Linked DNA regions of Oreochromis niloticus. The protein of the gene in region 1 interacts with the protein of each later gene in a pairwise test. Links are inferred from orthologs where the notes say so. Each region holds a gene or a part of one and is shown in the gene's direction. Other genes may lie near its edges.

Evidence for each region.
Region 2: the proteins of fsd2 (region 1) and fmr1 interact in binary tests that used the Homo sapiens proteins (3 or more experiments, as listed by UniProt). The link is inferred for Oreochromis niloticus from reciprocal best matches to the Homo sapiens genes FSD2 and FMR1.

Annotation. Positions count from the first base shown.
Region 1 is NC_031965.2:13,696,076-13,703,616, reverse strand, and holds the start of fsd2 (fibronectin type III and SPRY domain-containing protein 2), read left to right. Parts: upstream 1-4,535; 5' UTR 4,536-4,842; intron 4,843-4,909; exon of another isoform or gene 4,910-4,935; 5' UTR 4,936-4,964; coding exon 4,965-5,147; intron 5,148-5,407; coding exon 5,408-5,503; intron 5,504-5,726; coding exon 5,727-5,960; intron 5,961-6,122; coding exon 6,123-6,145; intron 6,146-6,998; coding exon 6,999-7,120; intron 7,121-7,374; coding exon 7,375-7,539; intron 7,540-7,541. Other genes in the region: whamm (WASP homolog-associated protein with actin, membranes and microtubules), read right to left, coding at 1,816-1,989, 2,032-2,044, 2,105-2,241, 3,653-4,228.
Region 2 is NC_031966.2:33,307,450-33,315,286, reverse strand, and holds the start of fmr1 (fragile X messenger ribonucleoprotein 1), read left to right. Parts: upstream 1-4,836; 5' UTR 4,837-5,236; coding exon 5,237-5,287; intron 5,288-7,837. Other genes in the region: rab33a (ras-related protein Rab-33A), read left to right, coding at 1,074-1,141.

The DNA of each region.
Region 1 (7,541 bases):
CTCTTTACGGTCCTATCAAAATAAAGGCTAAAAATTCCCTTAAAAAAAATAATGTTCTTTCACCTACATCACAGAGTTTGAGAACCACATTAGACATAGTGATGCAACAGGTCAGTCTATTCATGAGTGCTGTGTGTGGCTCAGCAATAACAAATGAACCAGTTAAGAGTGAAAAAGACCTTTATGTGATCACTAAAGGACATATAGGTCAGTGCTGTGCAAAAGTCTAGAGCCACCTCTCATTTATTTATATTTTGCTTCCAAGGAGTCAGACTTAGAGAACACCTAACAATGACACATGAATTACTGAAGCATGGACCAGTGTTTACACAGAAGAGACAACTTAGTAAAAAACATTTTATTCATTGTGCTATTAGCTGAAGACTTAGCAGCAGCTCAGCATCATGTACAGTGTGTCCTTAAAAGACTGGGTAAGTGGAGGACAAAAGAAGTGGCAGGTCTAAAATCTGTCGACAGCAGGTAAACAGCATGTGGAAGTCATGTCTTTAAGAAACAGGAATACATCCAGGAAAGTCCTGACACAGGACCTGAGAGATCCTTGTGATGTTTTAGTTGATCCATCTACTGGTCAACGAAGTAAAGAAGCAATTCTTAAGAAAGGGAAACAAGAAGAAAAGGCTGAGGTGTGCCAAATTACATAAGAACTAGACTGACAAATCACTGACAACAGATCTTATGGAGTGATGAACCCAAATTTGACATTTTTGGTTCAAATCACTGTCGGTGAGTGTTTACAGTCATCTGTAAAACACGGTGGAGGCTCCGTCATGGTTCGGGGCTACGTTTCATTCAGGGGTGGTGTTAAAAATAATGGAATTATGAACACAGAAAAGTACCATCACATTTTGGTCCATGTTATCAAGAAAGCGCCTAGTTGGCAACGCCTTCCTTTTTCATCATAACAATGATCCCAAACACACTGCGAGTGCAGTAAAAGTATACCTGGATAGAGAACCATAATAAAACACCATCAGTCACAGACTGGCCTCCCCGGAGCCTGGACCTGAACTTTACTGAAGCAGTGCGGGATCAGCTTGACAGAGAACAGAACAAAAGGCAGCCAACATCCAAAGAAAAGTTTTCAATGTCCTTCAAGAAGCCTGGAGAACTATTCCTGAAGGCTACTTAAAAAAACTACGAGAGTGTTCAGGCTGTGTTGATTAAACTTTGTACAATTCTAACAAGCTTGAAAGTCAATTTTGCCTCACATACTGTATTTTTAGATATGTTTATATGTTTTGATAAATCACAAATGCGGGGGGGGTGCTGGAGCCTATCCCAGCTGTCATAGGGCGGGACAGGTGTCAGTGGACAGGTCGCCACTCTAACACACAGAGACAGACAACCATTCGCGCTCACATTCACTCCTGCATTCACACCTATGGGCAATTTAGATTAATCAATTAACCTATCCCACGCAAGGAAACCCACGCAAACATGGGGAGAACATGTAAACTCCACACAGAAAGACCCCGGGCTGATGGTGGAATTGAACTCAGGACCTTCTTGCTGTGCGGCAACAGTGCTAACCTGCCTGTTTTGATAAATCACTGCACCTATTTCACATTTTCCTAGCAAAATATAAAGAAATGAGGGGTTGGCTCAAGACTTTTGCACAGTATAGTAAAAAAACACTTTAAAGCATTTTTTCCACTGTCAAAGAACACTTTACATTAAACATGTACCATAATCCTCCCTTTTCATTTTCATCAAAATCTTAACTTTCTGATATCAACACTAAGTGCATCCCCTGCATGTTATCGTGTACAACATTCTAACAACGTGTGTATTTACAAGGATGTCCATCTTGTAAAGGCAGGCCAGCTCTCTCATGTCCCTGAAAGGCTGCAGCAGGTACTGGAAGAAAGTTGTGGCGACAGTCGCCAGGTCCTGGTAGGCCTCGTCTTCTTCCTCATAGATGCTGAGCAGCACGACCATCCTGTCAGCACCGCTGTGACTTTGTAGCAGCTGTGAAGATGAAAAAACATAAACACCATGATCCGGGTTTACCCTGAGCCCACAGCTTAGTTTTGCTCTGTATGACTTTTCATACTCAGAATGAACCAATCCAATCCGTGCCGGCTAACATAAGAGTCGATAACTAGGCCTTTCAGAATACAACTTGGGTGGGCTGAAGGTAGACTTGTGAAGACACTTCAAGATGAGGTTGGTGGTTGAACACCACAGGGATTCTTGGACCCGGTTCTCCGATGTTGACCACTGAAGTCAAACAAATTCAGGTCTTAAAAAACATTTTATGTGAGAGTGATGAAAATAGTGATGAAATATTTGGAACTGAGACGTCTTTTTGGTTAAGAAAATGTTAAATCGCTTGGATTCAAAATATGTAAATAGTTGGAAAATCAAGAGTTATCTATGCCCTGACATCTTCCAGCATACAAAGGGAACATGTTTGCTTTAGATATCAAAAACAATCAACACAGCAACACAAGCCTGCATCTGAGACAGCATAAGCAAAAGCTGGATATGATTTCATAAAGGTATCATATACAGCAGATCCGTAACAGTGGTTTATGTAGACATAATACCGACACTGAGTACAGATTCTGATACATTTAATCTACTTGTAGCGGTGCCATCAACAGTTTTTCTTACAGGTCCACTTGCTCATTGTTTCTGTTACCAATTCTTGATCAGAACCTTACATCTGTGTAAGGAAACAAACCAGCACAACAAGCACATTTTCAGCTCAGCGAGCTACATCATGATGCCTGTGGAAACAGGTACAGTGTGGGCATGTAAAAACTCAACTACCATAACTCAGACCACATTATTTTGATAAAAGGACATGATAAGCTTGGAGGCATGCATTCCAGCGATCTCCAGTGGATCTCAAATGGAACTAGATTTCTGCTTCAATGTCCAGCTGACGTATTTTGCTCTTCAAATGCCTCATTGGTCTATTGGCTGTCATTTTACTGCTTTTACTTCCATTTGCATGTGAAACAAACTAAACAGAGCTAAAGGGTCAGGTTGCAGGTTAAAGCAGCAAACAAGAGCAAACAAAGACCAGTGCTGGTGTTGTTGCAACATCTAGAGCCTTGGCTGGAACAGCAGCTGTGGTTTGCTGTGTCATGGTAGACCTGATTTAGGCCCACACCACAACTGAGAGGTGCTAATATGGCAGACTAGACCTTTAAACTTCTTGGGATTAGAGAGCATGCAGTCTTTTCTCATACTTCAGGGAATCATGTTTTTAAGTGCATCTAAGGTGTTGTAAGACTTCTCCTATCAGAGGTGGGGCACCAAGCAGATACAGGGCCAGTGTTGCCGATACCAATGCCAATACTTTTACCCTATAAAATGTAGATTACAAAGGGGAGAGCAGTGTGCCATGATTACTGATTGATTCATCATTAATTTACACATTCTGAACACATTTTAATGACCACTAAATCACTGTGATTTCTGCTTTCCACATTAATTAGTTAACACAACGTGTTTGGAAACTGATTTTCTGGAGACCTGGAATGTAAATGTGCCTGCCTCTAAAACACATTTATTTAACACAATCCAGTAGGCAACATACTGCACTTAGGGAACAGAAAAAGTCTCAGGCCTATCGCGCTGGTATCGATATTAGATCAATCCGCCCACCTCTACGCCTCACCTGTCTCAGGTGACCCTTGGCCCTTGACATCTCCTCCTGCAAGCTCTTCTTTTTGAACTCCTGTAAATTCTCAAAGTACTCCTCAACATCTCGGTCATCCTGTGCGAACAAGGTGTCGAGAACAATCTTCCGTCCGCAGAGGTCAATAGCGGTGCTGAAATACTTCTCGAGTTTCCTACACGGGGTGTCATAGTCCCTCTCGTCGTCATTGTCTGGACCTGATCTCCTACTCAGGAAAAGCAAGTCCCAAATGTTACCCTCTTCAAACTCCGTCAAATCCGGGAAGCAGCCTCCCAGGACGTCGGCCACGCAGGTGAACTGCTGGTGGACGTGCTTCAGATCGCTGACGGAGAAGAGTCCTGCCCAGCTCATCTGAGGGTCGTCGGCGGCAGGCTCGGATTTGCGCTTCTGCCGCTGTAACGTCCGGTTGTGGCAGGTGACGGCGAACTTGCACTCGATGACGTTCCACTGTACGATGAAGCCCAGTTTAAACGCCTCATCTTCCTCAAATATGTTGCTTTTAACGGCCACCCACCCCTCCAGACTGTCTAGTCGCTCACACTCTATGCTGTTCATCTTAAAAAGAGATGTTTCACTCTGGCCCCCGAGAAGCTGCTGGCTCTGTTTACAACGTCCGCCATTTGTCTGACGTCAGTTGCGTTCAACAGCCCCGGAAGTTATCGGTCAATATGAGCTAACGGTTTTACTAACACAGATATCTACCCTTTAAAGAATACGCTGTTTTGACATAGAATGGTAACCACGAAAAACCCAGCCTGGGTCACTAAGAGCAGGCGGGTCCCAATGCAGAAATTTCTAATCCAATGCGTTTGATGCGTCTTGAATTAAAGTTTACGAGGAACCTTGAATGCACCATAAGTCTCTGGTACTGCCTTTAACTTTGACCTTTTAATCACATGTTCGGGGATTTCCAACTCCTGAAAATTAAAGCATTTTACTTTTAGTTGTTGTTCCTTTACAATGTCAGCAAATCTCAGACCTCTGCGGACTTTCAATCACGTTTAATGAATCTATTTCATGAATAACGAACTTCCGGCGTAGATGTTTGGCATGCCTGTGAAATGTGAGCAAACACAGTCCCATCTATTTCTGTCACTGCTGTCCTGCCGGATACTGCTGCTGGCCTGAAAAGGTTGTTTAAGAACCAAACAGCTCCCTTAATTTTCCAGGTAAATTTGTTATCAGCTGCTTGCTCACTATAACAGTTCTGCTTTGTTAAATTCTCCTCCGATGCAGTTTCAGAACATTAACGGGTACTTAAGCCTCAGTCCTCCCCTGAGTCCTTGTCATCATGGACTTGTATGAGATCAGAGGAGGCAGGCTGGGTGTGATTGCAGAGGAAGCCGAGCTCCAGGAGTTAAGCAGAGAGTCTACTGCTATGGAGACCTACAATGTAGGCTCAACTCCATCTCCCACTGGAGCAGAAGATGGAAGTGATGGTGAGGAGGATGCTTTTAAGGAGGGAGAAACTGAGGTGAGGACACTAACTAACTACCTCTATTCAGCCACAGTCGTCTCACTGCATTTAATCACTTCTCTGAGAGAACGCCAGTGTGAATGGTAGCACAATACAGAAGAGTAAAATGAATAGCCGAGTGAGGGGAACATCTGATTAAGATACACTCATAGTAAACAGCAACATAAACTCTTAACTGTTAGCCCTCATCGTAGTCTGTGTTGCAGGTTTGAATTAAATGCGGAAAGAGCTCAAGCTTGTGTTATGACTGCTTTCAGGGGGAGATCATCTTGATTCGCGATCAGCTGCAAGAGAAGGTTGCAGAGATGGAGAGCTTTGCTGGTCATCTGGAAGAGATCTTCCTTACAGTGGAGGTACTACTCAAACGTCCAGTCTGATCTCCTTTGTTTTGACATAATTTTACTGTTTTATTATAATATGAATATGCAGAGATGCTTTTTTTTCTTTTTTTACTCATAGACAGTAATAAAGTCATCACAAGCCAATTTTATTACATCAAATTCTTCATTTTTCTTTGTTCTTTCCTGTACAACAAATGTGTTACCCTCTAACTCTGTCATATTATTGCACGTACAGGAGAATTTTGGCCGTCAAGAGCAGCACTTGGAACAGCACTACAATGATGTGCTGCAGACGCTGTCTCAGCGACAGGATGAGAGCGCGGCAAGGTTGGAGGAGGAGAAGAAGAGTAAGCTGGAAGCCTTGTACGGTCAGCTGCTGGCCTGCGGTCGGGCACTCGATGCCTCCAAGGAGCTCATCGAGACAGCGCAGGAGGTCTACCGCAGCCAGGACAAGAGGCTTTTCTTGAAGGTGATAAATGATTCCACTGGATCATATTTGCAGATGGCCCCAAAAATAAATAAATAAATAAAACATGGCCAGCTAATGCAATTGTGGACATGAAGCATTGATTAGCATTTATTCATTCATTTATTTTGCTATTGAAGTGATTTCTTTGGATTTTATTGACAGACAGTTATGCCCACAATTAAAAGGTAAGCATGAGGCTGCACAGTGAGTCTGCACGGTGTGACACTGCAGGTGTGATATTAAGAGACCGAGCATCAATAACATGTGCGATTTGTCTTCCCTTTAGTTTCAAACTAATTTTATTTAACTCTATATATTTTAAAATCCCAGCTGAAGATCCACTTACTAAACTTAGCACAAAAAGTAAGGAAATTTGTATTTGGTCAACAATTCTTTTTTTTGTAAGGTTGCTTCCTGCCAATAAATCTTATACGTCGGAAAGCCTGTTTATTTCCCCTTAAATGTAGCCACATTTATTAGGGAAAATGCATTTGTGGGCTGAGCAGCAGAGTTGAGTATGTGGGTTGCGCCTTTGAAACACTTGCCAAATTTCCTCTGCCAATACCAGTCAGCTTATTCTGCCACTGACTCTTGTTTGGTGTAGTTTATTGCACTGGATGATTAAAGTCTGAAGAAACAATTTATTCATTTAACAAACAGGGCCCTGAGTAGCACGTGGAAGATCCACACACAGCCACAACAGCCTGGCACCTCCTCCTCATGCTGGTCACCAGCTTGGTCACACACTGCTGTGGGATGGCATCTCAATATGGTTGTGTTGGCTGACTTGCGACAAATGCTGTTAAACTGACAATATGTCTTATTTCTTCAGACTTCAATCATTCATGTTCATTCATGGGCACAACCCACAGACCCAAACTCCATCCACTGTACAAAACATGCTTGCATGCTTGATGAAAAGCACGTAAAGTATTTATTTTATGGTCAAACTTTGAACATTGTAAGTAATCATTAGCCTGATAACGCACTGCACGCTTTTTAAAATCAGGGCTTTTTTTTTGTTCTGTACCACACTAGAATCGAGGAGTTTGCCAAAGATGAGGTTGACCTCACGCTGTCTACAAGTCTTGAATTCAACACACCGCTCGCTGACCTGTCAGATGTCAAAACCATGATGGACTCGATCAACGTCGTTCCAGGTCTGAATCTACAAATCGCCTCCTCTGGTTCACTTTCCGCCACCTCCTCTGTCACTTGAAAAATACAAATCTAGGAACACGCCGTCTCTTGCGTCACTGAAAATGAGAATCCTAATAATAGGAAGCACACAGAGGTGTCAGTGTTGAGCTTCAACCAGAACAGAGCTGTCTTAACATTTAGATTTTTGTACTCTAAAAAGACTTCTTGATAACTGTGCTGAATTTACAGTGAATCTCTGTCAAACAACCCCCAGCTCCATCTGCCCCAGTAATCAATCCCCAGATGCCCAACTCTGCCACTCAGACATCCCTGCGTGTGTGCTGGAGCTTGTTCTCTGATGACACGGTGGAGTACTACGAGCTTTACTACAGGCCGGTGCTGGAGGACACACCAGCAGACAGTGCCTTCACACCGCAGGGT
Region 2 (7,837 bases), on another chromosome or scaffold:
CGAGCATTTAAGAGCGGCGTTCCCTCCAAGCTGACAGTCTGATGTCCTGATTAAATTATTCACAGGCTGAATCTGAACACTGTGCAAATCCAGAGGGCTTCTGCCTGAGGTGTGCCATGGTTTGGCGATCTTTCATACAGGTTTACGAACGGTGCAAAAGTCTTCAGCCACAAATAGTTATGAAATAGTCCTAGTCATTTCATAGCAATAAAATGGTATTTTTCCGCCACAAGGTGATTCTTAAAGTGCTATTTCGGCATGGTGTGCAGTCTGCCCTTAAAAAAATATGAGGCAAATGGACGAATGGAGGCAGGTCTTAAAAGCTCTACTGCAGATATCTGAAAGTCATTTCCTTAAGAAATAGGCAAAATCAACCAAAGACCCGACACAGGATTTTCAGTTGATCCACCGACTGTTTGCCAAAGCCTCATCAGAAATGGTTTCAGTGGAAAGGCAGATGTCAAGAAGCTTCCTAAAGAAAGGAAACAGGGACTAAAATGTGCCAAATTACACAAAAGCTGTGATAAAAATCAGTAGAGACAGGTCTTATTGACCGATGAATCCAAATGTAACATTTTTGGTGTAACTCATTGTCAGCAGGCACAGCGGAGGCCAGGAGAAATGGGCCCACTGTGCAATACCATCTGGAAAGCTCTGCTTGGCAATTTCATTTTTGAGCATGACAATGATCCAAAACACACTATCAATGCCATAAAATTAGAAATTAGAATTGATTAGAAAAACACACATTCGTGGATTGGCCTCCCAAGAGCCCAGACTTCAACCTTCCTGAAGCAGTGTGGGATCATCTTAGTTAATGTATTTCTGTGTATGTGTGCACCTTTCAAATTGCTACACCCATTTTCCATTTTCCTACCAAAATATAAAGAAATGAGGGCCGGCTCGAGACTTTTGCACAGTTCTAACAGCAGGATCGAACAGAACAGTGAATCAAATGACATTACTGTAAAATATCAGGAAGAGCTCTGTTCATTCTCCTTATATGGGCTAATCTGTGACTTCTTTTGTTTGTTTGTTTATTTGTTTTTAATCTCCATAAATGGCATCCACAGGTGCGCCTCAACCACAGCTGGGGAAACCACTACGTTCAGGACTGATGGAGCGGTATCCCAGGACATAAAATGTAAAAGGAATTGTTCATCCTTTAAATTTTAATACATTAACATCAACAGCTTTGTCCATCAGTGGGTTATTGTAAGAATGCTAATTTAGTCAGTGTCATACAAGTGGGATGACTGAACAAGACTAATGAGCAGAAAAACACTGTGGAAAAAAGAAAAATGTGTCTGCATTTCTGTTAGCAGATTTGAATAAAGCGGCAACTAACATGGTTTCAAATGAATAGAAAAGAAAATGAAGCTATAGTTCAGTTGTTTTCACTGTCATCAACCAAACATATATATCACTGTTTATGAAATTATTCAGCAGTTTATGTCATTTACTAGAAAATGTAACATCGCTTAACAAAAGTTCAGTTTTAACCATTTAAAACTGCAAAATGTGCATTTTTCCAGGTCGAAGAGTTGCAAATATATGCTTGCCTTCTCTTTTCTCTATATCTCCAGTGTGTTTTCTAATATATTTGTACTTTTTTGCAGTTGATTTGTGTCATTTTTAATAACCCATGTTTGCTCTTAAAGGGTTGCCTTGGCATTTTGATATTTAGTCTGGTATTATTGTTTATCTGCAAAACGTCTGTATGTGGAAAATAATAAATATCAAATACACTTTGAAGCATATATCATTCTAAGAACACACAAACGTCGATGAGCAACTTGAACAAGCCAAAATTAAACAAGTTAGACATCACAGTTCATTATTTGATTTACTGTTTTAAGTGAATTAGGTTCTTTTTTTCTTTTTTTTTTAGAAAACATGTTTTTGGTATCTTTAAATCCTTAAGCACGTGTATTAGCTTTAGCATTACAGTCAATGTTCAGATGAATGTGGTCTTTCTTCGCTTAAGAATTAAAGTAAAGTTAGCTGCAGTCCTACAGAGTATCAGGATATTGGTTTTATACATTACCTACTTGCAGTGCTAACACAACTTAGCCCGTGGTAGCTTAAATCAAAGCGCTAGTTTATTTGCTAGCTTATTTGCTAGCTAGCCAGCTCATTATTAGCTAAACTCTCACTAATTTAAAGAACATTTTAACGATTTTTACTCTGTTAAAAATGATAACACCACAATATTTAGGATGTCTCTGGTTTTATACAATAATACAAATTGTTATTTCGCTTTATTATCTAAAACAGTGTTTGTCTTTGGTACTATCTACAGCAGCAGTCCCCAACCTTTTTTTGGGCCGCGGACGGTTGTTTGACAATATTTTCACGGACCGGTCTTTAAGGTGTCACAGATAAATACAACAAAATAAAACCAGTGCCGGTACCAAAAAAAAAGAAGCTTTATTCATAACACACGCAACAAGACCCAGGGAAACTGAGTTAACGATAATAAACGATAAAAACCCTGAAAACCATACATTTCACACCCGAGCCTCAACTCTCGCGGCCGGGTAACAAACAACTCCGCTCCGTGGCCCGGGGGATGGGAACTGCTGATTTACAGCATCTTTGAGTGACACAGGCTCGAATCAGACCTGAGGACTCAAATCCATGTTTCTTCCATCTGTTCTTCTGTCATTCCACACAGTGTGGTGGCTGTAGCCTATCCCATTTGCAATAGGGCAAGAGGAGAGGTACACCCTGGACAGGGCTAATTCAATTTCTTTACACCCACTGGAGCTCAGTGTAAGTTAACAGAAGTCAGCGTTCCTTGTTTGATGACTCTTCAGACTGATGGACGTTGCTGACAGGGATTTGAACGCACTGCGCCCCATTTAATCAATACTATAAAGACTAAAACCCAGAATACTGAATCGCTCTTTTTGAAAAAGCCTGAAGAGTCGTGTTGGCTGATTTTATGGTATTGTAATTTTGTTAGATCCTGTAAATCTGTGGTGACTTTTGTTTTTGCCTGTCAGTTTACTCTGCTTTTGGACTGTGTGTGATTCTCCTCTTCTGTACATATGTTTCATATGTAACACTGTTATTGTTACAATCTCACAAAGAAACTTACGATAAAACTGCTGAAGAAGCATCGCTTGACTCTGAACCTTTTTCGTATCACTGCCCTTGAATTGGTTGCTTTAAAAACAGTGATCAGATATGCAAACACTCGCAGTCAGCTGCAACCTTAGGTGCATCAAGACCATGATGAAAAGGCAATAAGATAGAGTCAGTCTCTTATCAGTCTATTTTCAGTAATAATTTGATGAACTCTCAGCGAGTCCAGTCAGACCTTCATTTTTGAGACCTAAGTTCAAAAATTCATCTGCAAAAAGTGACGTAGTTGCTGCAAGACAGATATTTAAATGCAAAATGACAGGAGTGCTTGGCAGCCATGCTTTTGCACACAAATATAACCAGAATACAACCATGTTAGCTGAGCTGCATCACAGGCAGTTTACAGTCATCAGTCCAAACTGACTCCGACTGATTGCAAAGTGCTGCCAGTCTGTTTCCTTTGCAAGGAAGTTGTCGTCCTATTACTTTGTAGAGTTTAGCTTATGTGCCTGTGCCAACAGCATGGTGTGTTCAGTATTCAGTGTTTCCCTCGCACGCAGAACTCAGAATTTCCCGTCTGTTTATCCGTTCTCTTGCTCTTTGTCCTGTATCTTATTTCACCCTTCATGTATGACCCTGTTTCTGCCGCACTCTCATTCTATTTCTGTCTTAATCTCACTATAGATTATCCCTGTAAGTCACTCTATGGTCCTCTCATATGTCACTGTCAGCACTTCTTCATTTACCTGTCTGTAGTCTGTCTGCATCTTTCCCTTCTTTTTCTCTCCCTCTCTTAACATGTGGCCTGTTGCAGTTCCTTGTTTTTGCCTACAAAGTATAATTCTCAAGAAGGTCATATGTCCATAAATAGATGTAGCAGATGAGTGCTGCTGAGTGTTGAGAGAATGAGAGGTTTATAGAGGAAAAACATGAGGTTTTAACTGATCCTTAACACTGAATCTGCAGGCCTCTGTATTAAAATCTGTACATTTATCCATGCCATGCCTTGCTGTTAAATGTAACAAACGTCTTTAAGCATAAAAAGGCATGTGCCCTGACTTTAAAACATAGTTATTATAGTTATGTTTTCGGTTTCCAGGCAAAACTATTTTGGAGTGGATGACGTGGTTTGGCATGTCAGCTTTCAAGAGACAGTCCTCAGAAACAACAGGCAGTAATGAGTAAGTCTGAGTCTAAATATATATTGTATATTACATTAGATTAGATTCATTAGATATTAGTGGAACATTTAATGAGAACACCTTGGTTGCTGTCCTAGGTTCTGAAATCTCTCATTTTAATGTGTTATTATATTAGATAGATATATAGATACTTTATTGATCCCATGGGGGAAATTATTGTTACAACCTTGTGATAAAGAATAAAAATAGTACCGTGTACAATAAACATCAAATAAACAACACATGAGGAGCCAAAGTTCTTTGCAACAGATTTCAGTAGTTAGTTAAAGATAAGTATTGTGTTTGTGAATGCACATTGTAAAAACAAGTGAGGAAAAAGAGCAAGGTGGAATAGTTGAAATGTGGCTTGATAAATATGGAGAGGGATAAATTTGCTGTTTTCCCGGAGGGACTGGTTGGCCGTGCTGTTGGGAAAATATATTTTTTCATTTGTTCTTAGAGCTCAAATATGGTACACCACAGGATAAACACAGTGGTCATTTTTATTTTGATATATTTCCTGCTATATCAAATGGCATTCCTATTTATTACCCGTGGAGAGCAGCAACAGGCTCGGATGAGAGTAAGCAGCCTCAGTTTTCAGTAGAGGAAGAAAGCGGAGACGTCACATGGAGAGATACAACAGCAGTAGCTGCTACACCACTAATCACACAACATTAACATAACTAGCTACTAAAAGCTAACCTGGCTAGCTAATTGCTTCGTCTTCTTCATGAAGTCGGATTTGCAAATTTGCAAGAAACAAATTTCATAGACGGTGCAAAGCGGAAAACAATATTACGGTCACACACAGCTACTGTGGCCTCTTCTTGCATCCAGTAGGCAGGGTATTTAGGCTAGCTAGCGACTCTGCCTTGGCTAGCGTCAGGCTAGCCAGCTAGCTAGCTAGCTACTAACATCGCTATCGGTAGTTAGCTAGCTAGCGAGCTGTAGTAACTTACGTCATGGAGGAACTAGTCGTGGAAGTAAGAGGGACAAGTGGGGCTTTTTATAAGGTAAGTTGTTGACTTTTGTCGAGTTTTGTGACCACCGTTCACACACTATGTACCAAGTAAGCCTAACTAACATGAATTTGTGTCACGGGGCTAGCTTAGTGTTATATGTGGGCCTCGGTGCTTCTGCTCAACGTCTACCGGGACCTGAAACGTGTAAACAAAGCTAACGCTGCGGTGGGGCTCTAACATCAGCGGTAGTGGATAAATTGGTGAACTATTGGTGATCATGACGCTTAACCAGGGTAGCTGTTTAAGCGGTATCGGTAACGCTGATGTGACTGCTATACGATGGTACCCCTAAAGTGATGTGCAAGGATTGGTTGCAGACTCACAAACATCAGAATCAATCATGGGTTGGCTGTTTTTTGTTTTTTGCTTTGGTCAAAGTAAGTTAATTCAGAGTAGCACACAGGGGTGATGGTTTGGCTAACCTTTATTGTGCCCGTAGCTGCCAGGTGTTTTCTTGTTTTGTCAAGACTGCAGAGATTTTGGGGTCAGTCAACAAGTAGATCATAAATCCGATCCCGTGACCTGCGTGTATCACTGGGGTGGGGTGGGGGAGATAACATAAGCAGTACAATGGGATAACACGCTAATTAGCAATAATTACTTACATTTGAATATTGGTCAATTCAAGGACACAAGAATAAAATGACTTATGGTGAAGGATCTAAATAAAATGATACATTTATTATTTATTTATTGTACAGCTGTCAGGTTTGTTGTGGGATAAATATAGGATGACATGTATCGCAAGTAAAGTTCTGACAGATGTCTTTTTAAAACTAATAGTTTTGTTGTGGCCACATTAATGCGAGGTACATGAATGCTGTGAGTATGCTGTATAATCAGGGTAATTAGTAATTGAAATTAATCTTGATTCAGGCCACAGACCCTCATTAAGCTCAGCGGTTGCCATGTAAATCATAGACTTCTCATGCTGTGTTCAATACTTGTATACTTTCCCAAATCAAGAGGCTTTTCCTTTGAATGTAGGAAAGTTGAAGTTGGCACTGTCAGTTGTACTTTGGCTTTTAGCTAGGTGTGGCACGAGACAGAAACCATTCTTTTAATAGTTGTAATCATATTGTTAGCAAGTACAGAACCATATAAATGGGTGGGTGTGTCCGAATATTTGAATGGTGCTGTAGCTTGAATGATAAGTTTTACTGTCAAACAGCAATGAGAAAAGTTAGGCTAATTATTGTTAGATGGTAGTCTGGTTTGAAAAAATCCAGTCCCACCAGGTAACTCTTAAGAGTACTTTTATTAGCCATACATCTATCATAACCTACATGTATACCACTGTTATATTTAATGTATTTTACTATGTAGATCGATCTAATAAGATGACGTAGGTGTGACTCCTTACAAGTATAAGCAGATACACGACAAGAGGGCGACTTTGGCAGAGGTCTTTCTGTTCATCAGAAAATGCCCAGTGTATTCACAGAGGCTTATTCAGAGTGTTTAAAACTTAGGCAGTTTGTTTTTCTCTTGGCCCAGTATGATGTCACTGAGAGCAAATATCCCTAATATTGTCATCTTAGGTACACAGTTCTGACTGAAACCCCACCCACCTGCTGTTCACACCTTCTGTTTGCCAGGGGCTGGCTGGCAGACAGTTGGCCTAATATGAGTGGAGCTAAAACAGTTTTAAGATGAATTGAGCTGCACCAGCAAGAGATAAATGTGGATTATTTTCAATTGTGAATCATGCAAAGCTAGTGTAGTAGACTGTAGTCGAGTAAAAGGAATAGTGTAATAGGTCCACTTTAAAGGAGACTTATTTACAGAGCAGTTACCTTTGCTAGATGGCAGCATACCTCCAACACAGGGAGTTGGATCTTACTGCAGATCACTTGCATGATTTCAATGTTAATAAGCATTCAAATTTTGGTTAATGAATCAAGAGTTTTGAACGTAATCATTTTAGTTAGTTGTTGTGATGATGTTGATTGACTAAATGTGTAGTTGGCAAATAATTTTTTATAGTGTTTTTAATAATAGTTGAACTGGAAAATGACACCCTTGTCTCTGGCATTATAGCAGAATTTAAAATATGCTCTTGGCTGAAATGAACATATTAAAAATAATGAGTGCATTCATCTGCCAAGTGAGAATAATACTATAGAAATAATTGTAGAAAATGGTTCTGCCATAAATCACTTGAGTGAGAAACTTAATTTTGCTGTTTTTAAATTGCACCTTATGCAGTATAGAAGTCATTGCTCTTTTTTATTGTAATCTCAACAGCAGTACAACAATTGCAGTTTACTGCCAGTAGACTAAACTACATTATCTCCTAATGCACCCTCTGCCTTACCCTCATATTTTGTGTTTTGGTATTTTTCCGGTTTTAACAAGATTAATGTTCTTGCTAAAGTCTGAACTTGGTTCCTGAACTAGACAGTCAGTCAGTCACAATCCTAAACACGCTCACAGGTCAGTGAGGTCCTGTCAGAATTGGTTTATTTGTTTTTTTAACCTTGGGAGTTTTGAGAAGCTCTCTTTCTTGCTTCCTTCTTGCTTCATTTCATCCACCACTGA